4 linked regions of the Oryctolagus cuniculus genome follow. The protein of the gene in region 1 interacts with the protein of each later gene in a pairwise test. Links are inferred from orthologs where the notes say so. Each region holds a gene or a part of one and is shown in the gene's direction. Other genes may lie near its edges.

Evidence for each region.
Region 2: the proteins of SNCA (region 1) and TOR1A interact in a two-hybrid assay, tested with the Homo sapiens proteins (2 studies listed by BioGRID, with this or other methods). The link is inferred for Oryctolagus cuniculus from reciprocal best matches to the Homo sapiens genes SNCA and TOR1A.
Region 3: the proteins of SNCA (region 1) and ARFGAP1 interact in binary tests that used the Homo sapiens proteins (3 or more experiments, as listed by UniProt). The link is inferred for Oryctolagus cuniculus from reciprocal best matches to the Homo sapiens genes SNCA and ARFGAP1.
Region 4: the proteins of SNCA (region 1) and PDE4DIP interact in a two-hybrid assay, tested with the Homo sapiens proteins (2 studies listed by BioGRID and IntAct). The link is inferred for Oryctolagus cuniculus from reciprocal best matches to the Homo sapiens genes SNCA and PDE4DIP.

Annotation. Positions count from the first base shown.
Region 1 is NC_091439.1:75,751,992-75,758,991, forward strand, and holds the start of SNCA (alpha-synuclein), read left to right. Parts: upstream 1-2,834; 5' UTR 2,835-3,562; exon of another isoform or gene 3,563-4,319; intron 4,320-4,353; exon of another isoform or gene 4,354-4,751; intron 4,752-5,041; 5' UTR 5,042-5,066; coding exon 5,067-5,187; intron 5,188-7,000. UniProt on the Homo sapiens protein: Neuronal protein that plays several roles in synaptic activity such as regulation of synaptic vesicle trafficking and subsequent neurotransmitter release.
Region 2 is NC_091432.1:232,662,444-232,669,359, reverse strand, and holds the start of TOR1A (torsin-1A), read left to right. Parts: upstream 1-3,142; 5' UTR 3,143-3,233; coding exon 3,234-3,414; intron 3,415-3,718; coding exon 3,719-3,984; intron 3,985-5,579; coding exon 5,580-5,755; intron 5,756-5,836; coding exon 5,837-5,964; intron 5,965-6,916. Other genes in the region: C1H9orf78 (splicing factor C9orf78 homolog), read left to right, coding at 63-161, 488-579. UniProt on the Homo sapiens protein: Protein with chaperone functions important for the control of protein folding, processing, stability and localization as well as for the reduction of misfolded protein aggregates.
Region 3 is NC_091442.1:569,728-576,748, reverse strand, and holds the start of ARFGAP1 (ADP-ribosylation factor GTPase-activating protein 1), read left to right. Parts: upstream 1-3,247; 5' UTR 3,248-3,402; intron 3,403-6,366; 5' UTR 6,367-6,370; coding exon 6,371-6,430; intron 6,431-6,687; coding exon 6,688-6,797; intron 6,798-6,898; coding exon 6,899-7,021. UniProt on the Homo sapiens protein: GTPase-activating protein (GAP) for the ADP ribosylation factor 1 (ARF1). Involved in membrane trafficking and /or vesicle transport.
Region 4 is NC_091438.1:50,609,740-50,616,856, forward strand, and holds the start of PDE4DIP (myomegalin), read left to right. Parts: upstream 1-3,343; 5' UTR 3,344-3,800; coding exon 3,801-4,925; intron 4,926-7,117. UniProt on the Homo sapiens protein: Functions as an anchor sequestering components of the cAMP-dependent pathway to Golgi and/or centrosomes.

The DNA of each region.
Region 1 (7,000 bases):
GGGGAGGAGCCGGGACTAGAACCAGCGCCCATATGGGATGCCTGCGCTTTAGGCCAGGGCTTTAACCCACTGTGCCACAACGCTGGCTCCTGCTCTGCTGTTTTTGCCATAGCACAGGCTTACCACAGGACATAACTAAATATTTGGTTATCTCACAGAGAAAATTAAGTCTAGGGAAAGCATACATTTCACTGAATGCTAATCTATAGTGAAATTACTGAAATAAACCTGGATAAAATAATTTACTAATGTGGGGTAAAATACTGATATTTCATGTACTGAAGAGAAAATGAAGGACATGTATGGTAATTATTAAGAAAATGTTCACATCAGGATTAGGTCACTCTATCATTTGGGATACCCGTATCTCACACGGGAGTGGTGGGGTACTGGCACAGAGAAGGTGAAGTTGCAAATCTGAATATATTGCTTTATAATAGTGTACATTTTCCTTGATTTCCATTGTGATATCCAAACTCAAAGGTTATTTCTAACAGAGCTGGGTCCCACCACTTCTTCCCCATGGTACACACTCAATCTATGAGGCTTCAAGGATGAGCTGCAGTTCAGATGATTGTGCCTTCTGGTACAGTCTCTGCTAGATCATCTCAGCTCTACCACCATAAAGCTAATTAACTTCAGTCTATCTCCCCAGCAGATTCTCTGCCTATAAAAGTTATATAAAATTTAACTTATCCAATTGTTATGATTAAGTGACACGGGATTTTAGTCCTTTGCCAAACATAGGTACTATATAAAAGTATGGGATCATGATATGTTATAAGATGCATAATCATCCCCAAAATAAATCACTGATTTGCTCATGACACCTAAAATAACTGTCATTTCATTCACCCCTCCATCTTAAAGGACCAGGTCCCTGGTAAACCACAAATATGTCATATAAAATCACATATTAAATAACTGTCAGGGGCCAGCACTGTGGTGTGGTGGGTTAACGCCCTGACCTAAAGCGCCGGCATTCCATGTGGGCACCAGTTCTAGTCCTGGCTGCTCCACTTCCCATCCAGCTCTCTGCTATGGCCTGGGAAAGCAGAAGATGGCCCAAGTCCTTGGGCCCCTGCACCAGTGTGGGAAACCCAGAAGAGGCCCCTGGCTTCAGATCGGCGCAGCTCCAGCCGTTGCGGCCAATTGGGGAGTGAACCAAGGGATGGAAGACCTCTCTGTCTCTCTGCCTCTTCTTCTCTCTGTGTACCTCTGCCTTTCAACTAAATAAACACATCTTTAAAAAATAACTGTCATAATTATTTATATCTGTTGAGACATGTGGTCGTGGTGGGTCACAGTGGAAAAATGCATTATTAGCAGTAATGAAAAGCATTAAAAAATCAAACCAGTGATTCATGTAACAGCATGAATGAGTCTCAGAAATACTATGCTAGAAGAGAGAAGTCAAATAGGAAATAAAGTTCATACTTTATGATTCCATTTTGATGAAGTGTTAGAATGTACACACCTAAGAAGGGTCCATGGGACCTTTGTGGGGTGATGAAAATGTTCTGGGTTTTCCAAATAGTGCAGATTTTTCAAAATGGACACATAGCGACACTTAAGAGCTGAGCATTTACTCTATGTAAATTATAACCAAGAATAAAAATTCTCAAGTGCTATGGTGATTATTGTTTCATAATTTACATTTTGTGAATCCATGTTGAAATGTTTACAGATAAAATATGCATATAAAACTTGGAATTTACTTAAAAATGAAGATTGGTAGCGATAAAGTGGAGTGTTTATAGTTAGATATGATTAGGCAGGCATTGAAACATTGTGAAAGTTGGGTGATACTCATGTGAGAGTCTTTGATTCTACTTCTGTACATGTCTGAAAATTTTCCATAATAAAAAACTGAAAAGAGAGGGATCATCTAGTTCACCTCCTCATTTACAGGAGGAAAAGCTGTAAACAGGAGGACATAACTTGCTCACGGCCTTAAAATCAGATGGCAAACTAGCTCCCGTGTCTGCTTTCTTCCTCTGATCCCAGGAAAACAAAATATGAGCGGCTGTATCGTCCAAAGGCTGTTTTTCAAAAGGGAGGCAAGGAGTGTGAGGATCTATTAAGTGATAAATACTTGTGATCTAATTTTCACATTTTTTTTTTCTTCGGAATCTATCTGTATCATTTCTTTCTACCACCATCCCCTCCCCTTCTTATGTATTGGTTGTCACCTGTCATCTATCCATCTTTTATCTAACAATCTATATATTTAGCTATCTCTATCCTTTCTATGTAGTCGTTAGCTTCCATCCCTTGTGGTTTCAAGTTGTGCTTTATAGGTGGAAAGCACATCTGACTCAAATTTCAGAACCCAGATGCGTGCAAGCGGCAGAAAAACAGAAACAGACCAAGGAACAAACGAGGCAGCAGAGCCTTGTTCTCCCCTCCGTGCTAAGCCCATCTCCAAGAACCGGGCCAGGAAAGCAAGGCCTTCTGCTGGAGGGGGGGAGCCTGGTTCTCCCTTCTGGTGTGATCTAGGAACAGCTGTTTTCCACCCAGCACTGACAAGGGTGAAAATGCGTTAAACGACGCAGAAATCGGCGGGGGCTCTCTCGCGTGTGCCGTGTAAGGGGAGGGGGTGTCAGCTCGGAGGGCAACGTGCACCACGTTGGATTTGCCTCCTAGACCTTGTCCTGGGGTCTGGAAACGAAGCCGCGTTTCCAGAGCGAAAAGCCTTGGGGCCGCTCGCTTTCGACGGCTGGGGAATATTTATTGCCTGCTTCACAGATGGGGAAAAAAAAAAAATCAGCTTCTGGCAGCCGCTGATTGGTGGAAAAGAAAATGGTGAGAGCCTGGTAGGGAGACGATTTGACGAGTCCCCTCGTGCCTCCCGAACCTGTATCTGTTGCTCGGTGGTCCCCAGCCTGCCCGCGGGACCCTTTCGGGCTCACCCGGGGTTAAGCGAGAACAGAAAACCTCGAGGATGTTCGAACAAAAGCGACCCTGCACGAGGCGCCCCTCGGCCGTGTGCTAAGTGTCAGGAAGCGGGCTGACGCGGGGCAGGTGCAGGCGCCCCCGCCGCGCCCCGTGTCTCCTCCGTCCGCTCCCGGAGCCAGGCTCGGCTGCGACGCCCATTCCTCGGTCCCCAAGCCCCAGGGTTAGGCTCTGCTGGGAGCGAGGTCCCCGAGAAACCAGAGGAAAGGAGACAGCGAGGGAGCGGGTGGAAAGAAGAGACCTCAGCCCGAGCCAAAGCGCTCCGGAGGTCCGCACGTTCCCGGTGCCTCTGAGCCTGCGGTGAAGCACCGGGCCCCGCGCCTTTACGCCTCCCAGGCCGAGGCGGCCGGCTGCAGTGGCCGGGGCCACCTGCCCCGCACCCCCTCCCCACGGAGCACGAGAGCCGAGAGCACGCGCCGGGAGCGCAGCGAGCGCGGGAGAGGGGCGGGGAGAGGCGCTGACAAATCAGCCGTGGGGGCGGTGAGTCGAGGAGATCCGGGCGCCGGAGGAGGAGGTGGAGGAGGACGGCGAGGAGGAGGACGGCCGCGACCAGGGGCCCGCGAGCGGGACGACGGCGGAGCGGGAGTGTGTGCTGACGCGCAGCGAGGTGTGTGCTTGGCCTCTGGGCAGCCCCGGGACGCAGCCCCGCCCTGCGCCTACCTCCAGCCCTCCGCCCGCCTTCCCTCGCGACCCTCGCTTTCTTCCTCCCCCATCCTCCGTGCGGGGGACGGGGAGTGGCAATTGGACGCGAGGTTCGCGCGTGTGCCTCCCACGTCCCCCGCCTCCCGTCGCTGGCTTGCGCTGACGGCAGCCTCCTCTGGGGATCATCCGTCTCTTGGCGCCGCCTCCGCCCTTCCTGTGCGCTCCCGTCCCCTCCCTTGGCCCGTTTAAATAATATTTGGCACTTGTTTAAATTAAAGGGAAAGGGGGGGAGGGGAGGACTCGGAGTCCCGGAGAAGCAGAGTTCTCGGGTGAGTACCTGTGGCTCTGAACGGGCAGCTTTGGAAATCGTGGAGAAACCCGGGAAGGCAGAGGAGCCGCCGCGGACGCGGGGTGGTGGTAGGGTGCACCCCAGGACCGCGGTGTCCAGGCTCTTGGTGGGGCGTGCAGGTCCCTCGCGTGCACGTCAGGAGTGGATGTTGACCCAGCTCTCCCCGGCCTCCCCAAAGGCTGCGAAATCAGCGGCTTCTCCGGGGTGCGTTTTCCCCGCGGAAGCGCCGGGTGCTGGGTGGAGCAAGAGCATCCAACTTTTCTTCTCTTACGGTAACCGCCACCCCGTAGGCCGCTTTTTCGCTGTTTCCCGAGAAGAGAGGAAACAGCTTTGGCCAATTTCTAAATAAAGTGCAGAGGGGACAAGGCAACAGGTAGGAAGGGGTTAACAGGTGCAGGCGCTAGGTGTGCTTGGGGGTGCGGTGCGGCTGAGAACGCCCTTTAGTGTGGCTGGCAGGGGTGTGGACGCTGCCAGCGGGTGAAGACCAGCGCCTGCTCCGGATAGATAGCAGAGGGCGGAGGTGGAGGGCACCGTGGATTCAGAGGAGCGTCCCCTGGCTCCTTCCTTGTTGTCTTGCGGTTTAACCACATGCAGAGTGAGTAGTGCTCTTCCCTCCCCTGGGATCAACCTGTTACCCCTCTTCTGGGATTCATTTTAAGGATGCGCCTGGCCATGGCCCCCAGCTCCCGTCCTTTTCCTGAGGTCTTTCCTCTAAACCTCCTGCTGACTTAGAGGGTCACCCTTTGGACCCTGGGAAGTTGGAAGAAGGGCGCATCTGTTCCTGCCACTCCACTTCTGAGATGCAGTAAGAACAGCTCAGATGCTCTCCCTGGTCAGCATGAGTCAAGATGGATGGGGGAGGAGAAATTCCTAAAGCTAAAGCTTAAGGGGAGTGGGCTGGGGTGGGAGTGAGGGGCGGACTGCTTTGTCCAGGTGGTTGAAATGAGGGGTCACGTCAAAGAGTTTTCACGCTTTTGGGGATTTCTACAGATTTTTAGTGTTTTCGTTTTCTGTTTTGTTTTTAGCTTGGATGGTTTGAATTTTGCTTGCTTTTACCAAAAAGTTCTCACTCAGCATGTATTTTGTGTTTTCCAGTGTGGTGTAAAGGAATTCATTAGCCATGGATGTGTTCATGAAAGGGCTTTCAAAGGCCAAGGAGGGAGTTGTGGCTGCCGCTGAGAAAACCAAACAGGGTGTGGCAGAGGCTGCAGGGAAGACAAAAGAGGGTGTTCTCTATGTAGGTAGGTAGCCCCCCCACCTCCCATGTCATTCTGATACTGGTCCCTGATTGATTAGTTACAATGATGGATACAAGAATGCTGACATTTCTCACGTGATTCGTTCTTGCATCATCACTTGTCAAAAGGATGGATTGAGTCGGAGGACTGGGTAGGTAGGTGAATGTGAAGGTGTATGTTTGAGCTAATCGTGAGAAAATGTGGCTAATCTTTTGTTTCCCCAGATTTTTAAATGTTGCAGTAACACTTAGAACACTTAGAACTTTTTTATCCTTTTTTTCCCCAATGAATGAGTGGCTGTATTCAGAGGGCTGTTTGGAAAACTTAGTCCTTTTTTAAAAAATTAAAACATTTCTAATGATCAAAATAATTCATCGACTATTGATCTCTTTTATCATGATGAATAATATTTACTAATTTTAATGTCTGGCAATTATAAAATAAGACTTTGATACAGCCCTGCTCTGTGACTGTAACTCCAAAATGGAAAGAAGAGGTTATTCTGTGTTGTGATTACTCCTTGTGATGCCTTGATTCCTGTGGACACTCGGTCCAAAGGCTGAAGGAAGTGCTTAAAGGTGCTGCAGCTATCTTCAGAAATATTTATGTAGTTCATCTCTCAAATGACATGCAGAAAATAATCATGCAGTTGTTGCCTATCACTCTACTTGGTTCTAAATTCCCACCTGGGAGTATCCGCCAAGAGCTTGACCCTCTTATCTGTATCTTGAACTGTGTTAAACTGGGTGTTATTTTGCAAATTACTTTAAATTTTTTGGAGAACAAATGGACACATAGGTACATATCCACATGGAAGGCACTACAAAGGATCATGGAAAATTGAATGAAAAGAGAAGTTTATTTCAGTGTCAAACATTTTTGAAATGCATGCATAAGTTTTTCCCAGTAGGCATTTTTGGGAGAACTTCTTGAAGACTCATTATGTACACACACATTGCCTGTTCCTCTCTTCTTTCTCCACTGCTCCTCTGAGCTCTGCTGCCTTCTCTGGTGGCGACTACAGCAGCAGGAGCCATAGCCTGAGCAGGCAGGTGGAGGGTGAGCATTTGCATGGCATGGGCGATACACTTGCTGTGCCTGTGTCTGTGGAGTGAAAGATGCTGAGCTACTCTCAGATGTAGATCACAGGAGAAAACTTACACTTGAGATGCTTTTTATGACTGCTTCTCTTTACAGTTTACAGCAGAGTACTTTTTCCTTGTTCTTCAGACTCTTTTTATGTTGGCTTGATCTTCCCGTAAGTCTTCAGTTAAATTACTTTTTTTCTGCAAATATGTTTTCAGAAATATCATTGAAATAGGCTGATACAAGAGGGAAAAATTGGGAAGTTAAGTGCAAGTTTTTTTGTAAAGGATGAATTGTATCATTTTAGTTAGAATTGGTAATACTGAAACAATGACAAAGATGATCAGTATTTTTCTGTTGGTCCTCAGTTTTCCAACTTCTGTAAGTACAAGCTCCTTTGACTATAATTTGTGTGTTTAAAGATTTTTCTTTAGGGAGTCAACATTCCCTCTAGTCATTTGTTGTAAATTCAGAAACTACTAAATATTAATTTAATACTTTGCTCTTTCCTGGTAATGAATAAGTTTTATCATCTGCAACACTTATTTGCTTTCGTGTTGACTATGAGTTTGGGCAAGTGAAATGATTTTATTTCTCAGAGATCAGTTCTGTTATTTTCTTTGAGATGATTATATACAGTTTTTCAAAAAATTTGAAAATCAGAATTTTATATATATGTGTATATATATATATGGAGAGAGAGAGAGAGAGAGAGAGAGAGAGAGAGAGA
Region 2 (6,916 bases), on another chromosome or scaffold:
GGGGTCCCGGGGCTCCTCCCCCCTGACTCTCCCCCTGACTCTCCCCTGGTCTCTCGCTGCAGTCTACCACGAGGAGCTCAACGCCCCCATCCGGAGAAACAAGGAGGAGCCCAAGGCCCGGCCCTTGAGAGTGGGCGACACGGAGAAGCCCGAGCCCGAGAGTGAGTCCCGCGGGGCCGGGCGGGGCGGGACAGAGCCTGGGCTTCAGGGCCGGGATGCCCGCGTGGAGCCCGCCCGGCCCTCCCCACGCCGCGGTGTCCCCCTCTAAGTGGGGCTGCACCAGAACGCGCCCCTGGGCGTGCGCTCGGGACGCACCAGGCTGCCGAGCGCAGAAGAGACGGCAGGAAGCTGCCGTCAGCAACCTGGAGCTACAAGTCACTCGTGTAACCGGCAGTGAGGGGCCTGCTGCGTCCACGGGCTGGGTCAGGCGCTGGGGCTCCCGTGGAGGAGGCTGGGGGTGCCAGTGGGGCGCTGTCTTCTCCTGCAGGGTCCCCTCCCAACCGCAAGCGGCCCGCTAACGAGAAAGCCACTGATGACTACCACTACGAGAAGTTCAAGAAGATGAACAGGCGGTACTGAGGGGGGCGGCTGCCGGCCCCGGGCACGCGCTCCCGAAACAGGCTCACCCAGGCTTGCCTGGGGGTCCTCAAGCACGCAGGTTGTCAACTTTGAAAAACTGGGTTTACTTTGTGTGTTTTGGGGACAAACTCTGCATTATTAAATCTTGTTTGTAAATAGACTGGCTTTCTCTCTTTGTTCTGGTCTGGGAGGGAACAGCTGTGTGTGCCCGGTGGTCCCGGCCTCGGCTTGGGCTCTCAGTGGTGGACATGGACTCGTGTCCTCCACTTCCAGACACTGGGGAGGGACGCGTCCACGGCTCAGAGCAGCAGCAGCTGGGACGACCTCAGCGGACGCCTGCATTTTCTGACTTCTGCAAAATGGCCTCTCTCTCTGCAAGGGAGAACTCCCTGTCCTCCCCCGTGTGGGGCTGGATTATTAAATACAGAGCGAGCGCGGCCTCGTGGCCTTCAGCAACACCAGGTGACGCTCTCACAGCCCGAGGCCTGGGGGGCTCAGATGTCAAACTGAGCTCCTGAGAAACGGGTTCTCCTTCCGTTCTTGTTTTTTGAGGTGATTTATTTGAAAGAATTAATTACAGAGAAGGAGAGCCAGAGGCAGACCGCGAGCGAGATCGTCCCAGCTGAAGTTCATCCTCCAAACGGCGGCAGCGGCAGGGCCTGGCCCGGAGCTTCCCCGGGTCTCGCACGTGGCTGCAGGGCCCCGGCACTCGGGCCTTTATCTGCTGCTTTCCCAGGGGCATTTAGCATCGAGGTGGGACTCAAACCCTCTACACCACAGTGCCGGGCCCCTCCGCTGACTCAAAAGACGGAGACGCTCCGACCGGCTGGCCGAGGTGTTTCCCTGGACGGGCCAGGGAAGCAGTGGGCTTGAGACTTGTGGACTGGCCGAGTGCAGGCCCCGTGGCCGTGGAGGCTTGGTGCACGCCGACTGGCCGAGTGCAGGCCCTGTGGCCGTGGAGGCTTGGTGCACGCCGGACTGGCCGCGTGCAAGCCCCGTGGCCGTGGAGGCTTGGTGCACATGGGCCAGATCGGACCCTTGCTCACTGCTCCTAATCCCTCGAGTCTCGGTTTTCTCATCGATAAAATGGAGAGGGGCCAGGCGTTGTGGGGCACTTGCGACGTGAGCACCAGAGTGCCAGTGCATAGCCCAGCTGCCGCGCCTGGGACACAGCTTCATGCCAGCTCCCCTAGGAAGACAGCAGAAGATGGCCCGTGTGCGTGGGCCCCTGCTCCCATGAGAGAGACAAGGACGGAGTTGCCGGCTCCCGGCCTTGGCCTGGACCAACCCCAGCTGCTGCATGTGTTTGGGGAGTAAACTTGGGGCTGAAAGGTCTCTTAACTGTCAGATAAAATGAAAATAAATTTTAAAAATTTAAATAAATGAATAAAATGGTTAAAAAACCAACAATAGGGGCTGGTGCTGTGTCGTAGTAGGCTAAGCCTTTGCCTGTGGTGCTGGCATCCCATATGGGCCCCAGTCTTTTTCCCTGCTGCTCCACTTCCGATCCAGCTCTCTGCTGTGGCCTGGGAAAGCAGTGGAGGATGGCCCAAGTCCTTGGGGCCCTGCACCCACATGGGAGACCTGGAAGAAGCTCCTGGCTCCTGGCTTTGGACTGGCTCAGCTGCGGCCATCTGGGGAGTGAACCAGCAGATGGAAGACCTCTCTGTCTCTCCCTCTTACTCTGCCTCTCAAGTAAATAAAAAATCTTTTAAAAGCGCACACCTTGTTTAAAATATGCATACATTGGTTATACATCAAAGGAACACAAGAGACCAGCTGAGACTTCCGTGAGCAAAACCAGAACAATCCAAGGAACAATACAGTAGTGGGTTACAACCCAGAGTGAAATCAGCGGCCGAGGGCCCACACTGCTGTAATAATTGAGTGAATAAGTACGTGGAGAGGCCGGCCGTGGGGAGCATGGGTAGTTCTGCGCCGCTGTTGTCCCGAGGAGTGGGGCAGCTTCCTGCCCCTGGGGTGGACAGCTGCAGCCTCATGGCCTCCGTCACGTGGGCAGCGCTGCCCTGGGTATGGCAGGTGAAGACACGGCTCCACTCCCGTGACCCCGCTCCCCAGCCTGGTCAGAGCGGCACCGTGCCTGTTTCAACAGAGGGAGAACTTGCAACAGCTTTGACCAGTGCTGTCCAGTACCCAAGGCCGTCGAAATAAGGGAAGTCTAAGAAACCATCAGGGGTAACCGCAGATGTGGCAACGAGACGGGGAGGGGGTGGGTTCTGGGGCAGAGAAAGTAGAGATCGGAACCAACTGATAGCCAAATACTACTTACAGCATACCAGTGTGAAGATTTTAGTAACAGGGGAAACTGTGGGGGTGCGGCTTATGGGGTCTCTCCGTACTGTCTCGTCAATTTTTCTGTAAGTCCAAAACTGTCCTTAAAAAAAAAAAAAAAAAAAAACAACACTGCGTATCCTTATAAAAATACAAAAACCAAACCGAGGTCTCCTGGGAGCCCACTTGCCGGAAGCAGGAAGCCGCGCTGCCCCTAAAAAAGATGGCGGACACCGGAGACAGCTATAGCCCGCCCCGAACAAAGATGGCGGCGGCGGCGGGGTGGAACCGGAAGAGCGTGTCTGGCGGTAGCGCCGGTCGGTGGTCAGCGCAGGAAGGCGCGGGGAGGCGCGGGTCTGGGCATGAAGCTGGGCCGGGCCGCGCTGGGCCTGCTGCTGCTGGCGCCGTCGGTGGTGCGGGCGGTGGAGCCCATCAGCCTGGGTCTGGCCCTGGCCGGCGTCCTCACCGGCTACATCTCCTACCCGCGCCTCTACTGCCTGTTCACCGAGTGCTGCGGCCAGAAGCGGAGCCTCAACCGGGAGGGTAGGCGGGGGTGGGGGCTGGCGGCGGCGGGGCTCCGGCCGCAGGACGGGCGGAGGCCTGGGGGAGCCGAGCTGCAGGGTGGGCGGCTCCGCGGGCGTTCTCCGAAGAGCTTGTCTCCGTCGTGGTCGGAGCCAGGGCACCAGGGACTGGGTCCTCTCCCTGCCGGGCGCTGGGCCTGGAGGAACCGAGCAGGGGCCCTGGGGCCGCGGGGCCAGGACGTCCCCAGCAGGCGGGACTCGGGCGCTGACCCCTCTGGCCAGAGGCTGGAGGATCCCCCGCTCCTCACCGGCCCTGTCTTTGCCAGCGCTGCAGCGGGACCTGGACGACAAGCTGTTCGGGCAGCATCTGGCCAAGAAGGTCATCCTGAACGCCGTGTCCGGCTTCCTGAGCAACCCCAAGCCCAAGAAGCCGCTCACCCTCTCCCTGCACGGCTGGACCGGCACTGGCAAGAACCTGGTCAGCAAGATCATCGCGGAGAACATTTACGAGGGCGGCCTGAGCAGCGACTACGTGCACCTGTTCGTGGCCACGCTGCACTTCCCCCACGCCTCCAATGTCACCCTGTACAAGGCAAGCGCCCCGCTCCCGGCTGCGGCCGCTTCGTCGTGGGCAGGGGTGCGGGAGTCCCTGCGGAGGGGAGTGAGCCCCAGCCTGGCGCCCGCCTCAGTTTCCCTTTGAAAGGTGTGGCAGCTGCAGAGGGGTTGAGGGTGCGGCTCAGTGGGCGCGGTGCCTGGAGGGATCCCAGGTCGTGGGCACGGTGCCTGGAGGGATCCCAGGTCGTGGGCGCGGTGCCTGGAGGGGATCCCAGGTCTCATTCATGTTGTCCAGGAGGAAGCAGGCACGTGTTTGTTTAGCCTAACTGTTGCAAACTGGGCTCCCAGGGCAGGTCACTGATTAACAGCCCCTGCTCTCCCACCTGGAGAGGCTCACAGGTGCGTGGGAGGCTTCGCACCCATCACCCTGCCAGGCACCCGAACCTCAAGCATAGGCTCACTGTGATCTTTCAGGGGCCGGGCAGCAGACCCCAGTGTGGGCAGGATGGGGGCGCTCACTGGTGTGAACTCATTCTGCCTGCGTGAGCGTGTCCCCACCCCCACCCTGACCCGGGCACGCTGGGCTCTCGGTGCTAAAGCCAGGAGCATTCGGCGCTGGTCCTTGTGGTCTGGTTGCGGCTGCACCTGGGCGACTCCGGGCAGGTGTCCCGGCCTGCCTGTGCCACTCAAGTGTCCCCCAGCAGCGGGGCCGCAGCAGTAACCGCCGTGGCGGGCTCCAGGGGGGCCGTGTGGGCGCCGCTGGGACCAGCTCTGTGCTCTGTGCCCGCGGTGAGCGGGCGCCGTGTGTCTCCTGTCGCTCACGGAGTCCAGGTGGCAGAGGCGACATCCTGGGCTGTGGGGGGCCGAGCAGATCTGAGGGAGCCCCCGCTCCAGCGGTGACTGCCCCCTTGGCCAGGGCAGGCGGCTGCCGCCCGCCTCAGCTTCCAGGCGGCACTGTCACCGGAGCCACAGAGGCCCCGTCAAAACTGAAAGGCGGCAAGACTGACGCCGTAACTTCCAGAATCTTCCCCAGACGACAGACAGCGGATGGCCCTGTTGTCACGGGGCGGGGGGCACGGGGGGCACCGCCCACTCGTTTAGAACCAGAGCTCAGGTCTTAGATGTCCTCAAGGGGTCCTGTCCTACAGGAGGCCCCAAGTGTGTGCTCATGGAACACTGTCAGGCACGGGGTCCAGGGCCCAGGCGCGTCGCTGCCCACGGAGCCGCCGCCGGCCCTCCCGCCCTCCCCCTCTCCAGGCCGCTCTGCGCTTGCTCTCCGCCTCCTTCCCCAGTGCCCGGGATACGCGTGGGCGATGCTCACAGCACGGACTCCCCCACCCAAGCGTGGGGCTCGGGAAGCTGGCAGGGTCGGTTCAGAGCCGGCTCCGCCACACTGATCTTACAGTCTCGGGCAAGGTGACTAAGCGCTTGTTGGCCTCAGTTTCTTCATCTGTCCAATGGGTATGGTGGCGCCCGCTGCACGGGGTGTTCAGGGAACCACAGGGCTCACATGTGCAGTGCTCTGAGCAGAGCAGCGGGCACACGGCACCAGGAAGCGCAGGTGGTGGGCGCTGGCCCGAGGGCCCGAGGCTTCGCCAAGAAGCCGGCACTGACCTCTGCCCCGCACCCCAGGATCAGTTACAGCAGTGGATCCGAGGCAACGTGAGTGCCTGTGCCAGGTCCATCTTCATATTCGATGAGATGGACAAGATGCACGCCGGCCTCATCGACGCCATCAAGCCTTTCCTGGACTACTACGACGTGGTGGACGAGGTCTCCTATCAGAAGGCCATCTTCATCTTCCTCAGGTGAGGGCTGGGCCGGGGCTGGCTGGGCCGGTTCTGGGCCCCCGGGAGCGGAGCCGTGACCCCGCTGGGCGTGTCTTGCAGCAATGCGGGCGCGGAAAGGATCACAGACGTGGCTTTAGACTTCTGGAGGCGTGGAAGGCAGAGGGAGGACATCAGGCTGAAGGACATGGAGCACGCCTTGTCCGTGTCCGTCTTCAACAACAAGAACAGTAAGTGGCCCCTCCCGTCCACCGCCCCGCAGCCCTGGTCCTGTGCGCCCGGCACTGCCCCGGCCCCTTCCAGCCCGCGAGGCACAGGCCCGGAAGCGGCGTCGCGCTGGGAACCTGCAGAGCACTGGCCCATTTCTGCAGCTGCCGGTTCTTGTAGAAGCCGAGCAGATGGTGACCAAGGATGGCTGTCGGGGAGGTGACCGCTGGGCCCCCGCTGTCTCAGCACTGCCCACGTGTCCGTTTCGTCCCATCTCCTTTCAGTAACCTTGGGGGGAGAAACTGCGGCTGTCCCTAGTGTGCCGGTGAGGATGAGGCTCGGGCAGACGGGCGCCCTGTCCCGTGTCCCCGGTGCCAGAACCGGAGCTTGTGTTGCTCGCTGCTTCTCTCATGAATGTCATCCGTACCTTTGGCCTTGAACCCCGGGAGGTGGAGAGCCGGCAGGACGGGTGCCGACTCACAGACTAAATCCTGCACGTCCCCAATGGGGGCCGGCGGCCCAGAGCCTGCGCCGTGCCAGCTTGCAAAGCCACTCTGGGGGACCCGCCTGGGAATCAGGCAGACCGGCTGGGCTGCTGCTCCGGTCACAGGCAGGTGCCAGATACCCCCAGGCTTACTGAGCACCTGCTAGGTTCACACAGCCAGTGGGGAGAAAGACATTCCCACCCTCACCCAGCTTCCCCTTTTTTATTATTATTATTATTTAAGATTTATTTGAGAGGCAGAGAAAGAGAGAGAGAGGTTTTCCATCCGCTGGTTCACTCCCCAGATGGCTGCAACAGCCAGAGCTGGGCTGATCCGAAGCCAGGAGCTTCCTCCAGGTCTCCCACGCGGGTGCAGGGGCCCAAGCACCTGGGCCATCCTCCACTGCTTTCCCAGGCCACAGCATAGAGCTGGATCGGTAGTGGAGCAGCTGGGACTTGAACCAGCGCCCGTAAGGGATGCTGGCACTGCA
Region 3 (7,021 bases), on another chromosome or scaffold:
CAGGTGAAATCAGGAGACATTTCCAAGATCAGCCGTCTGGACGACTGGCGCCAGCGCTCAACCGGACCCCAGGCTGCAGGCGGGGAGGGCCACGCTCCCCCTCCCGAAAGAAGGGACAGGGCCGGGGCACAGCCAGGCCAGCCTCTCAGTCCTCGGAGGAAGGTTCCGGCTCCGGACCGCCACAGAGGCCGCCCTTCTAGTGAGGGCCGGCTGCGGGGGATGCCCAGGCGCTTGCTCTGATTGGGCAGGGTCCTAGGAGATTCCTCGGGACGGGGCCACAGCGGCCACTCTTCCCCGTGGGCTCTTGCTCTGGACTCCTTCCTCACCTGTGGGACCCTCAGAGTCCTGGGCCCATCCGGGCAGAACCGCCTGCGGTCAGCATGACCCCTCCCTCCACCACCCACCTTTTCAGCTCTGCTGGCTTCCTTGTGGGGAATCTGCTCTCCCACACCATGAGGCCAACAGCGCCCCCTGGCGGCGGTGCGGACCCCAGGTGGCTGGGTCTGGAGGGAGCCGAGGGGGCGGTGGCTGGCCTGTCCTCCCAGGTCGCCCTCCAGCCTCACTTGCCGCTGGGCCCCCCTCATTGTCCCTCAGAGCCCCTCACCTGCTGGCAGAGCAGGTGTCCATGCTGACCACGCAGAGCTGGCTGGGACCTGCCCTCTTGGGAGCTCCCGCAGGCGGGCAGGGGCTTCCTGGAGGCTCACGTGGCCCAGGGCCCTTGGTTATCAAGGACACCGCGGTGGTCCCTGTGCCTGCGGATGGGGCCCAGCTCCGCGCACCTTCCGTGTAAGCGCCCCCTCCCTTTCTGCCTCAGCAAAGGGGAGCGCGGGGGGCCCAGGCAGCACTCTCTGGTCCCTTCAACAAAACCCACAACCTTGCACCCCGACACCCACACCCTCAGCATCTCGCCTTCTTTGCCTCCAGCCCGAGGTCCCGGGCACTGGGTCCCATCTGAGTCTGCGAGCAGGAAGCGCTCTCAACTCCCCGCTTCTGGGAGCAGACCCCGGCTACACTGTAACGGCTGTGCTCCCGGCGTTACACTTGCCACCAGCCTCACCTGGAGAGGGCGGGAGCAAACCGGGCTCCTGCTCCAGCGAGCTCTCCCTTCCCCGGGGGCCCTGGGCAGGCGGCATGAACCTTGCTCAAAGTGAGGAGGCAAAGGTGGGAACTGAGCCCCACACCACCCACCTCACAAACTGCTGCAGCGCCCCCCAAAGGGAGTCCACTCGGTGACACACAGCAAGCCAGCTACGGCCTGGGCTGGGGAGAGGAAGCAGGGCTTTGTTACAAAGTGCAGAGCGGGGAGCCGGGACCTAGCTCCTGCCTCCCCCTGAAGCCGGTCCCCCGCAGAGAGGCCTCTGGGGAATTCTGAGGGCAGAGTGGGCTCCGGTTGGTCGGGCGGGCGTCCATGCAGCTGGGAGGTATCTTTTGCCCCAAACCTCGAGTTCCTGCGAGGGAAGCCCCTCGAGCACAGGCCAACCAGGATGTCACCCGTAGGGGACATGAATGACCTCACGGGTCCAGCGATCGGGGACCTGTGGGGCCGGCCGCACCCCTCCCTCCACTCGCCGAGCTCACTTCTGTGAGTGGCTGGGGGAGACTAGACCAGGGTCTGGGCCCGGGCGCCAGGACAGCTGCGCAGAGGCAGCAGGGAGACCTGGTGAGCTGAGCTGAGCTGCCCGGCCAAGCCTCTCCCCGCCCACGCTAGGGTTAGGGAACTTGCTGCCGAGGCTGCTGGGGCTTGGTTTTGTGGCGACCTGGAGGCACAGCAGGGCTGCGGCAGGGGCGCGCGTGGTGCACAGCCCCACAGACAGGGGCCCGTCCACATGATGGCCGCTCCCCAGAGGGGACGTCGTGAGCCCCCGCCGCCCCTTCAGGGCAAGCAGGTCCAGGTGGGCACAGAGCCCGGGGGCGGGGCTGCCTCCGCACCCTCAGGGCTCTGCACCGGACAGGGGCCTGAGGGAGGGAGTGGGTCCTTTGGACGAAGGACCCGCTGTCCCGTGCTGCTCCTTTGGAGGCACCACCGGCCTGGCATGGGGGAGGGGAGCCCCATTCCTCCTCTGACCAGGTAGGCCTGGATCCCCAGACCACACGGTCCCCTCCCGTCGGCCCCCTGTCACGGAACTTCCCTCTTTCATGGTCATCACAGGAGAGGTCAGGGACCCAGGCTGCCCAGGCAGGCAGCCCTGGGCCACTCTGTGGGACATATGATGCTGACCGTGGCCTCCTGCTGGGAGCCTCGCACCTGGCCCACCTGTTGGCGCGGTCTGATGACCCCCAGGACACGGGAGGATGGCTACTTCCAATGGAGCCCCAGGGGTCTTGGCCACTGCCTGGAGGATGCTGAGGGCCTGCCTGGTCCACAGCCCCCTAAACACCTGTGGGAAACGCCCTGGGGCGGAGATGGGCGTGGTGCTTGTCCAGGTGAGCTTACAGTCCCCAGGGAGACCCAGGGCTCCTGTGGGTGGGGCTCTGCCAGCTGACAGGAATAGAAAGTCGCCTCAAGGGGCCGGTGCCGAGGCGTAGCCGGTAAAGCCGACGCCTGCAACGCTGGCACCCGTGTGGGCATCAGTGCCGGTCCTGGCCGCTCCACTTCCAACCCAGCTCCCTGCTATGACCCGGGAAAGCAGCACACGATGCCCCAGGTGCTTGGGCCCTGCACCCACGTGGGAGACTGGGAGAAGCTCCGGGCTCCCGGCTCCAGCCTGGCCCAGCCCCTGTCATCTGGGGAGTGAAGCAGTGCAGGGAAGGTGATCTCTCCGGACCTCCGCCCTTTAAATCAGTACACCTGTCAGGTGAAAGGCGCCACCAGGAAGGTGCGCCCACAGAGCTCCATCCCGGGCGACAGCCACGCTGAGACCGGGTGGACACCAGCGGGCAGGCCACGCTCACGGCCAAGGTCATTGGCACTTGCCAGCCCTGAGTTTAACTCCTGCTGTAGGCGACGACGCCACCACACAGTCAAAAACAAAGCAAAAGCCATGGACAGCGAGAGGTCACCAAGCCCACAGCTTCCACCGCTCACCTGCCTGGGCCTGGAACCTGAGTGGCGTCCACTCCGCCCCACGGACCCGCGCAGGGCACCCGGGGACCCACCCGCTCTCCTCCTCCGGAGACCCCGACCCGCGGGGACACCCCGCTCACGGTGCCCGGGACCCGCCCCCGCGCAGCCCCGACCCTCCTCCCGCCCGGACCCCGGCGACCACAGGGAAGGTGCGTCTCCATGGCGACCGGCTGGGGTGGCGGCCGGAAGTCCCGCCCCGCCGCGCTGACAGCCTCCCGTGAGGCCTTGCAAAGCGCAACGTTGCCGGAAGCTGGTGGCCGCGGGGGGCGATCCGCGCGCGGTGCGGGTGGCGGAGCAAGCCTGTCCTGGACCCCAGCCCCGGCCGGCCTCTTCTCCAGGTGAGCGCGCGGCCCAGTCCCTGGCGCGGGCTCCCGGCCCTGTCGGGCGACGTCGCTGTCGGGCGCGCGGGGCCTTCCCGGGCGGACCCCCGCACCCCTTCCCTCGCGAGCCTGAGTCCGCCCGCGGTTCCAGGGGCGCCGCCCGCCGCGGCTCTGCGTGGGCCCGGTGCCGGGCGGGGCGCAGGCTCCGAGGCCGCGGTCCGGCCGCAGGCGCCCGCGGAGTGGCAGCCGCCTTGCCGGCCCCCGCGTTGGTGCGGACGCTGGTGTTGCGGGAGAGAGGGCGGGGGCGGGCTCCTCACGCGGCCTTTCGCGTGCGTGGGCTTGCGGGCCAGGGCGGCGGGACGACCCTTCCCGAGCGGCTGGCGCGGTGCGGGGCTTCGGGGCGGCGGGGGCCGGGCTCGGGCGCGGGTCCTCGCCGCGTGCGGTGTTCCGAGCGAGACGGGCACCCGCGTTCTGCCCCGCAGGAGGGGACATCGGGGTCCTTGGACGCTCCGGAGAGTGGGCGGGGGCGGCGCGGAGGGCGCGGGGGCTGCGGACGTCGGCGTGGGCCCCGGGGGCCTCCCTGAGCCGAGCGGGGCCTCGGCCGTGCGCGCGTCCCCGCCGCAGCTCCCTGCGTTCCTGCGCAGGGCCGTTTGCACGTCGGTAACATCAGCCTGAGGATCGGCCGCTGTGGCGATTGCCCCAGCCCTGGCCTAGGACTTCCCGACCCCTCGCCCAGGCGCGCGCCCTCAAATGCGCCCCGGGCCCCCGTGCGGCCACTGTGACCGCAGACCTGGCGAGCGGTGCCAGCCCAGGCCCGGCAGGCAGGAGGGTGCGGGCTCCGCGCAGGAGGGTGCCCGGCGCAAGCTTGGTTTTCCCCCTTGGACCCCAGAATCCGGTGTCTGTTTCCTAACTTCACATGGCGTCAAGCTGGGTGCTGGTGCAGGGGTCAGGGGTCAGGCCGTCCTGAGCCAGAATGAAGTGGGCGGGTCCATCGTGGTTCTGTCTAAGCTGCGTCTGGACAGGAAGTGGCACCTGCGGGCTGTCTGCTCTCTGGGTGCCGGTGTCCTCGCAGCCGGCGTTGCCGTGTGACTAGGAGGGGACACGGCAGGGGCCACACGGAGTGTGTGTGTGCAGGGGGCTGAGGCCCAGGAGTGTGCGGGACCAGGCCGGGCTCACCTCACCAGGGGTGCGCGGGACCAGGCCGGGCTCACCTCACCAGGGGTGCGCGGGACCAGGCCGGGCTCACCTCACCACGGGTGCGCGGGACCAGGCCGGGCTCACCTCACCAGGGGTGCGCGGGACCAGGCCGGGCTCACCTCACCACGGGTGCGCGGGACCAGGCCGGGCTCACCTCACCATGGGTGCGCGGGACCAGGCCGGGCTCACCTCACCAGGGGTGCGCGGGACCAGGCCGGGCTCACCTCACCACGGGTGCGCGGGACCAGGCCGGGCTCACCTCACCACGGGTGCGCGGGACCAGGCCGGGCTCACCTCACCAGGGGTGCGCGGGACCAGGCCGGGCTCACCTCACCAGGGGTGCGCGGGACCAGGCCGGGCTCACCTCACCACGGGTGCGCGGGACCAGGCCGGGCTCACCTCACCACGGGTGCGCGGGACCAGGCCGGGCTCACCTCACCAGGGGTGCGCGGGACCAGGCCGGGCTCACCTCACCAGGGGTGCGCGGGACCAGGCCGGGCTCACCTCACCAGGGGTGCGCGGGACCAGGCCGGGCTCACCTCACCAGGGGTGCGCGGGACCAGGCCGGGCTCACCTCACCACGGGTGCGCGGGACCAGGCCGGGCTCACCTCACCACGGGTGCGCGGGACCAGGCCGGGCTCACCTCACCACGGGTGCGCGGGACCAGGCCGGGCTCACCTCACCACGGGTGCGCGGGACCAGGCCGGGCTCACCTCACCAGGGGTGCGCGGGACCAGGCCGGGCTCACCTCACCAGGGGTGCGCGGGACCAGGCCGGGCTCACCTCACCATGGGTGCGCGGGACCAGGCCGGGCTCACCTCACCAGGGGTGCGCGGGACCAGGCCGGGCTCACCTCACCATGGGTGCGCGGGACCAGGCCGGGCTCACCTCACCATGGGTGCGCGGGACCAGGCCGGGCTCACCTCACCATGGGTGCGCGGGACCAGGCCGGGCTCACCTCACCATGGGTGCGCGGGACCAGGCCGGGCTCACCTCACCAGGGGTGCGCGGGACCAGGCCGGGCTCACCTCACCAGGGGTGCGCGGGACCAGGCCGGGCTCACCTCACCAGGGGTGCGCGGGACCAGGCCGGGCTCACCTCACCAGGGGTGTGCGGGACCAGGCCGGGCTCACCTCACCACGGGTGCGCGGGACCAGGCCGGGCTCACCTCACCAGGGGTGCGCGGGACCAGGCCGGGCTCACCTCACCAGGGGTGCGCGGGACCAGGGCTCCACCCCTGCCCCCAGCTGGAAGCTTGGATTGTGTGAGTTTTCTGGTTGCGAGTCAATCGGCCACGCGCCGAAGCCAGTGCATCCTTAGGAAATGAGAAGTTTTTCTGCTGGACCTGGGCCTGGCTGCCACTGTCCCTGCTGGTGGTCACGGGGGTCCTGCTGCGCCCAGAGGGAGCTCAGGGTGGCCCCTCGAGGACCTGCCCCAGACCCCCAGGCTGGCCTTTCCACACCGAAGGTCAGGGCATGCGGGAGCGGGGGGCTGTGCCCTTGCCAGGGGTCAGCGCGTGCTGGGGCGGGGGCTCCCCCGCTGACAAGACAGAGCTGTTTGTGAACCTCTCGCAGTCGTGGCGGGCCGTGGGGTTGAAGCAGAGGGACACGAGGACGCACCTGGCTCGGCCTGGCCTCGCTGCACGTGCACGTGGACGCCGGGTGGCCTGGGCAGCTCGCGGTGGGCCAGAGGCCTCGTGAAGGGGCAGGTGTGAAGTGTCGTGAGCCGATGGCTCACTTAGGGACCGCGTGTGGGTCTGTCACGGGGCCGTTCTGTCTCCACAGCGTCATGGCCAGCCCGAGGACCCGGAAAGTTCTGAAGGAGGTCAGGGTGCGGGACGAGAACAATGTGAGTCGGGGCCGCCTGCGGCTGCCGTGGGCCACGGCCCTCCTGTCGCCCGGGGCCGTCTGCCTGGCCTTCCTGCTGGACGCTTTCCCCTGGGGCTGCTCGCCCCTCGTGCCGGCTTCCTGGCAGGATCAGCGGCCACCCCGCCCAGGCTTGCCTGCCGCCTGGGCCTCCCTCCTCCCCCGGGGTCCTTGTGTGTGGCGTCGGGCTCTCTGGCCTGCCCCGAGCCCCCGGCGAGCCGTGTGTGGCCCCCTCTGCAGGTCTGTTTTGAGTGTGGCGCTTTCAACCCGCAGTGGGTCAGTGTGACCTACGGCATCTGGATCTGCCTAGAGTGCTCGGGGAGACACCGCGGGCTGGGCGTGCACCTCAGGTCAGTGCCCGCCTGCACCCGTGTCTGGGGGGGCCGGGGCGGGGGTCGCCCCGCACGCCCCCCGGTTGGTAATGAGGCCAGTGCCCACCTCCGGCTTCCAGCTTCGTGCGCTCGGTCACGATGGACAAGTGGAAGGACCTGGAGCTGGAGAAGATGAAGGTCGGGGGCAACGCCAAGTTCCGGGAGTTCCTGGAGTCCCAGGCCGACTACGACCCCTGCTGGTC
Region 4 (7,117 bases), on another chromosome or scaffold:
ACAAGAGCTTCTTCCAGGTCTCCCACACGGGTGCAAGGGCCCAAGCACTTGGGCCATCCTGTGCTGCTTTCCCAGGCCATTAGCAGGGAGCTGGATTGGAAGTGGAGCAGTCAGGACTCAAACCATCACTCATGTGGTGCTGGCTCTGCAAGCAGTGGCTTCACATGCTATGCCACAGCCTCTGTGTGCTATATTTTATCTTCCCGATTTTCAAAGCTATTTTTGTGTTAAAATGGGGGTATTTTTTGTCAAATAAATATCTCAAATTAAGTTTTGGAGCAACATAATATTTTTATTTAGTCCCTTTGAACTTTTAAATTAAATATATTAACATATAAAATCTAAAGTTTTAAAAAGTGCTCAGTAATTGAGCTTTGTCAATTGTATACACTCATGCAGTAATCATTCAGACTAAGATACAGAACATCTTCATTACCCTAGAAAATTCCTGTGTCTTTCTGCAGTCAGTTTCACCCTCTTACCTTGCAGCTACTTCCTGATTTCTATTACTAAAATCACTTTTCCTTTGTTATACGTCAATAAATGAAATCACACAGGAGGTATTCATTAACTAGTATATGACTCGTCTTTAAGAGTTCATATACTCTTGTTGTATGTATCAGGGTTTGTTCTTTTTTATTGTTGGTTAGTATTACATTGTTTGGCTATACCAAAGTATGTCTATCCTTCCTTTTTCTTAGTAACAAATATTTTTTTTTCTTATGACGAAAGCAATACATACTTATGGTAGAAAATCACAAATTACAAATTAAGTAACAAAGAAAATAAATATCTATATTTATATAGACATTTATAATCACTACTAGTAAGTTATTGCATATCTCCTTTAGACCTTTGTTTATATAAGTTGTCCACTTATTATTATATAAATATTTACCATTCCTATTATGGAAATTCCCATTTTAGGTTCAAATCTTACTCACTTAGATCCGATATTAGTGATAGATTGGCATAACCTTTAATCTGTTCTCTAAATTAAGATTTAACAGTAATACTTGAATACACAGTCATTGACAAAAATTGAAATGATATGCAATATTCGGAATAAAAAGACTACACCCTCATTTAACACAACCCTGTTCCTCACCCCTCAAAGTAGCCAGTGTTAACTAACTGCAAAATCTTAACCTAGAAAATACTAATAAGGATTATGAAGTGCTGAAATTATCACATAATTTTTCTTCTGAGTTTTATATTTTTGTTTTGTTATCTACACACTAGTAACTTTTTAGTTGCAATTACATTATTATATGACACTAAATGCTCATGTTAGGACTAGTTCTATGATAGCTTACTGTCTACTTTGTGATAAAGTTTTTAAATATTTTCTCTAGGATAGGATAGTGTGCTGTTTAAATTTTCTTCGATTGCTGGGTGGGAATATTATTTCTACCTGCTGTTAGAAGTATATCTATATCTGTATATCTTTTATCATATTCATCTTTACTTATTTTCTTCAAGATATATCACCTTTTCACCATTTGTACTGATTTGTACTTCTATATAGTTATTTATATATTATCATTGAAGTTTGAAGACTATCACATGCAAAATCTTATTAAAGTAATAGAGCATAATACAAAGTATTATTTCAGGGCTTGCTGCTAAATAATTGAGAAATGTTCATTAGCATTTTCCACACGGGAAAATAGCCACTTGCATTGACAAAGATGGGACCCTGATTAACATTTTAATTAGCACTTTTATGGGCCATTCGTCCTGGTTGCTCTTCAGGATAACAGTTATAACAGGGTAGAGCAGGCCCATCTAGGTGTCCATCAGCCAGAGTGTGTTCAGAAACCCCTTGCCTTTCTAGAGATCACTACAGATGCCAAAGATCTTTGCTTAAAAAAGAAGTGAAGCAACTTTGAAACGCACATATCTAGAGGCAAGCAAAAAAGCAGCTGTAGCTTTACTTAGAATTACATTTTACAGTCGTTTTGGGGTTAACATATGTATTTTTAGGTGAAATTACAGATAGAGAATTCTGTTAGCCTTCTAAGCCCAAAGTTCTGAGGACTGTCCTTTATTCTCTCACAATGGAGCGGTAGGATTTTGTTTTGGTCATTAGAACAATATATGCAGAGCCCCATGATGTTCTAAACTGCTTTAAAATGTTCAGCTATTAAAACAGCAACAATATTAGCTATTTCCTAATGAGCTAAACATTATTAAAACATTTCCCTGAAACCACCTCGTTTAATCCTCAGAAAGGCAGCTAGGTGTCTGATAAGCTTAGGAGTTTGGGCTCAGACGTATGGCCAGTGTCCTGCTCTGGGGGACTCCAGGTACTGCTGAGGTTACTGTTCCTCCTGGCTGGTGTCTGTCTGCGTGCTCCTTCAGCCAGGGAAGACTTCCTCATTGCCAATGGCTGGTGGCACCTGCGCATTCCACCTCGGCGGAACTCCAGCTTCTGTCCTCTCGGTGTGCATTCCGAGTTCCAGAGCCGAGGTGGGGGGCGGCGGGGGCGCTGAGGGTTGTTCAGTCCAGCCCTAACTCTGAAGACAGCAGCACTCCCGGGACTTTCGGCTCAGGCTTTTGTGTGAACCTTCGTCTACCCTCTCCGTCTCCTAAACAAACACCGAGCCCGAAGGTGATGTTGATCTCGTCTCAGGTGGCTACGTTCTTGAAAATGCCATTTTCTCTTCAGAATCCTGGTTGACCAGATGCATTCACAGGGTCTTTGATGGACTCTCTCAGGAACTGCTTTGTGCTCTGATTTTATCTAACGGCAAAGCACTCGGGTTTTAACAGCCTTCCCCTCTCCCGCCCAACATCTGGGGGAGAAACGTTTGTCCTCGCTTTTTCGGCTCTCCCAACGGTCGAGCGAACGGTTAAGCCTCCTAAAACCCGCCCCACCAGCCCTCCGCGGTCATCAACCCTTCCCCCACCGCCTCAGCCGCCCCGAGGCCTTTCGATGCCGGCCCGGGGCCGGGTCTGGAGAGGAGAAGGGGCTGCGGGCTGGAGGCGGCGGCGCGCAGCGGTACCTAGTGGCGCCGCCGGGCTGCTTCATCCAGGGTACGTGGCACTGCCCGGGGACAGGGGGGGAGGGGATTTGGCAGGAACCTCGGACACCCTTCAGAGGCGGCATCCTTGAGGAGATCGGTGCGCCTTTTTTTGGCAGGAACTTAACAGATGAAAGTGGCCTTTCCCAGGACGGCGTCCGTCCGTTCCCACAGCGAGCCAGCTCTGCGTTCCACCGCGAGCGTCGGCCGCCGGGTCTGGGGCAAAGTGTGTGTGTGTGGGGGGGGGGGGGAGGGGGGAGACTCGCCATCCCGCATGCGCAAAGCGGGGAGCCGCCCGCCCGGACTACAGCTCCCAGAGGAACCTCCCGGAGGCCGCAGGCGCCGAGCCGTCGTCGCCATCTTGAAATCTGATCTTCCATCGCCCAGGCTTTGCGTCAGCGGCGGGCGGCCGCTAGGGTGCCGGGAACCGGGCCGGCTCGCTGAAAGGGGACGACGCCTGGGACGCGGCCGCTGGCGGGCGAGACAGCTGTGGGAGACGCGGAGGGGTCCGAGCGCGGCCTGCGCCGCTGTCACTCAGCATCCCCCTGAGGCGTTTCCACGCCCGCCCCCTGCCCGAGGGGCGGGGCTGAGCACGCTGGTACCCAGAGCCGGCGCGCGGGTGGCGGAGGCGCGCCCCTACGGAGCCCGCACCTCAGGGCTGTGCCATGCCGGCGGGAGACCACCGAGGCGGGAGGCGGAGCGCAGCCCGGGGCTGGTGAGCGACCCCTCAGCCGCCGTCGTCGCCTGGAAGCTAGGTACCCGCTAGGAGCGAAGATGAAAGAGATTTGCAGGATCTGTGCCCGGGAGCTGTGTGGAAACCAGCGGCGCTGGATCTTCCACACGGCGTCCAAGCTCAACCTCCAGGTTTTGCTGTCGCACGTCCTGGGCAAGGATGTTTCCCGCGATGGCAAGGCCGAGTTTGCTTGCAGCAAGTGTGCGTTCATGCTTGATCGGATTTATAGGTTCGACACCGTTATTGCCCGGATCGAAGCCCTTTCCATCGAGCGCTTGCAGAAGCTGTTGCTGGAGAAGGATCGCCTCAAGTTCTGCATCGCCAGCATGTATCGGAAGAATAACGACGACTGCGGCGCCGAGATCAAGGCGGGGAACGGCACGGTTGACATTTCCGGCTTGCCCGATGTGAGATACTCCGCTCTGCTCCAGGAAGACTTTGCCTATTCGGGCTTTGAGTGCTGGGTGGAAAGTGAGGATCAGATCCACGAGCCGCACAGCTGCCATGCCTCGGAAGGCCCTGGCAACCGACCCAGGAGATGCCGTGGCTGTGCAGCTTTGCGCGTTGCCGACTCTGACTATGAGGCCATTTGTAAAGTGCCTCGAAAGGTGGCCAGGAGTATCTCCTGTGGCCCTTCCAGCCGCTGGTCTACCAGCATCTGCACTGAAGAACCAGCGCTGTCAGAGGTCGGGCCCCCGGACTTGGCGGGCACAAAGGTGCCCCCGGATGGGGAAAGCATGGAGGAAGGGACGCCGGGGTCCTCTGTGGAGTCTTTGGATGCAAGTGTCCAACCTAGTCCTCCTCAACACAAGGACGAGGAGGCGGAGAGGAGTGCGAAGGAGCTTGCGAAGTGTGACTGCTGTGCAGACGAACAGGCTGCACAGCATGTGTGTAGCCACAAGCTGGAGCTAGCGCTGAGCACGATTAAAGGGCTTGATTATAAGCCCATCCGGAGTCCCCGAGGGAGCAAGCTTCCTGTCCCAATCAGATCCAGCCCACCTGGAGCCAAGCCTGGCCATATCATGACAGATGGAGTTAGTTCCGGTTTCCTTAACCGGTCTTTGAAACCCTTTTACAAGACACCTGTGGGGTATCCCTTGGAGATTTCAGACCTGCAGGAGCTGTGGGATGATCTCTGTGAAGAGTATTTGCCCTTACGGGTCCAGGTATAAAATGGCTACCCAGTGCCTTTCTGATTGCAGCTAGCTGGCCTCACGCTTCGCATGATCTCTGTCTAGAATGGAGATTAATGCTATTGTATGCTTGGGAAAACTGAACATGGAGTCCACTTTTGCTGCACCTTTTGTGTATGTCCCAGTTAGTAAATGTGAATCACACTCAGATAATTTGCTTTTCCCAGTTCTTTTGTAACACTATCTGTTGGCCTTTTCATTTATTATCAGAATTGCATACCCTTGTTTTATACAAGAACATGAAGATTCCCCATTGATTTAGCCTATGAAAGGATGACATTCAGTCTGACTTCTGGCATTAGAACTTCTCTCTTACCTCCTTTCTTCTCCCTGTCCCCCTACCTTTTTCTGTTTTGATTTTAAAGTTATAGATATTTCTCTCTTTGGCTTTCTGTAAGGGAGTTAGTTCTCCCTGGAGCAGTAAACCTTTCATCCCTCACATGACTGAAAATGATTAGAGTTTAGGGTAAGCATTAGGGGAAAACCTATTGATTAGTCAATAAAGTATTATGATATTTGGGCTGTATTATATTTAATTAATGATACTTGTTCATGAAAGAGCCTTTGGAATTCTGGTATGACCACTCAAAATGTTAAGGCAGAAACTGCACAGCTAGTCTGTCTACTGAGCCCTACTAGAAGATAGTTGATATTAAGAAATAATGTCAATTACTTGATTATAGTTTCATCCATTATACTCTAACATTTGTCTGTCACTAGAGAATGGCAGATGATTTTAATCTGAGTTACTTATATTCAGTTGATTTCACACCAGCCTTTTCAATTCAGCTGTAAACAGAGATCAGCCAGATGCTACTTTGTTTCTATAGCAATAGTAAATGCTAGGATCAGTTAACTTCAGGAAGCATTCTGGCAGGTTCCACTTGATAGACATTTTTCAGTGATAGCATTACAAAGGTAAGGAATCAAGAAGGCATTTAGAATGCCAACATCATTCTATTTTGATAACAGATAAAATTGTTCTTACATGAAATTTTTGAAAAGTGGTATATAAAGTTTATGTTACAATAAGAATTAAAGCAGAAAACGAGAAAGGTTTTTAAATTTACACAGAATTATCAGAAACAGTATACAATGGTACTTCAAAAAGTTTGTGGAAAATAGCATTAAAAGCATGAATTTGAGTGCAAAAAATTTTGAAATGTCTGCATAGTTTTTTCATAATACTCATTTTCTATATATCATAGCATTTTTTTGTACTGAAGTAAACTCATTTTTAATTCCACTTTCCTGTGAACTTTTTGAAGTGCCCTTGTGTATCAATATGAAAATATTAGGAGAAAGTAAAAAACAATTAATAGGTTTTCATTTGTAGACAGTGTTAAGTATTGTATATCTAATATTGTGTTCTTTTCTTTTACTTATTTTTCTTAAGCCTCATGGCTAAGTTTGGGCCTTACAGTATTTCTGTGACCCGACATAAATGTTAACAAATCAAATATCATGTTCTTGTATTAGGATCTAAAAGTAAACTGAGCAGGGAGGGAGGGAAATAAGTTGTTTTCCCCTCACAGATATAGCCAGTATTATAGAACATTATGGGCATTTTCTTCCATATTTAATTAAAAATACTATTTTTGAGTGCCTGGAATTTTGGAATTGGTAAAACTTTTAAAGATCATCTCATGTTATCACTCAGTGTAGAGATATGGAAAGCTAATGGTTTCAGTATCTTAGTCCTTGCAGAGTCAAAAATTGCTGTTTTCGGCCAAGACCTTTAAATTCTGTACAGTAAAGTACAGTGCTTCCAGTATAATGGCTTTTAAGCCAGGAGCTCTCTTTATATACCTCAGGGATTCCAGGAGGATTCTCAAGAGGTTTTTGTCAAGGAAATTGTCATCCAAGTGAGCACAAGTGGGCACTGTGTCCTGAGGTTGGGCCCTGTCCTTCACTAAGGTTGGACAGTAGAGCTCTGACATAGTGTATGCTCTTTCTGCTCTCACCTGGCTTCTGTCCTCTTTGTGGAATAATAAAACAGGAGGAGGAGGGAGAAATAGTATTCAGCTCCAAGAAATGTGGTGTTTCAGTCCTGTGCGGTTTCCTGTAATAATTAGTATGTGAGGTAGAAAATAGATAAATTGGGTTCAGTGTTTTTGTAAATAAGGTATGCATTTTATTTTGGATACCTGATCTGTTCTTTAAGT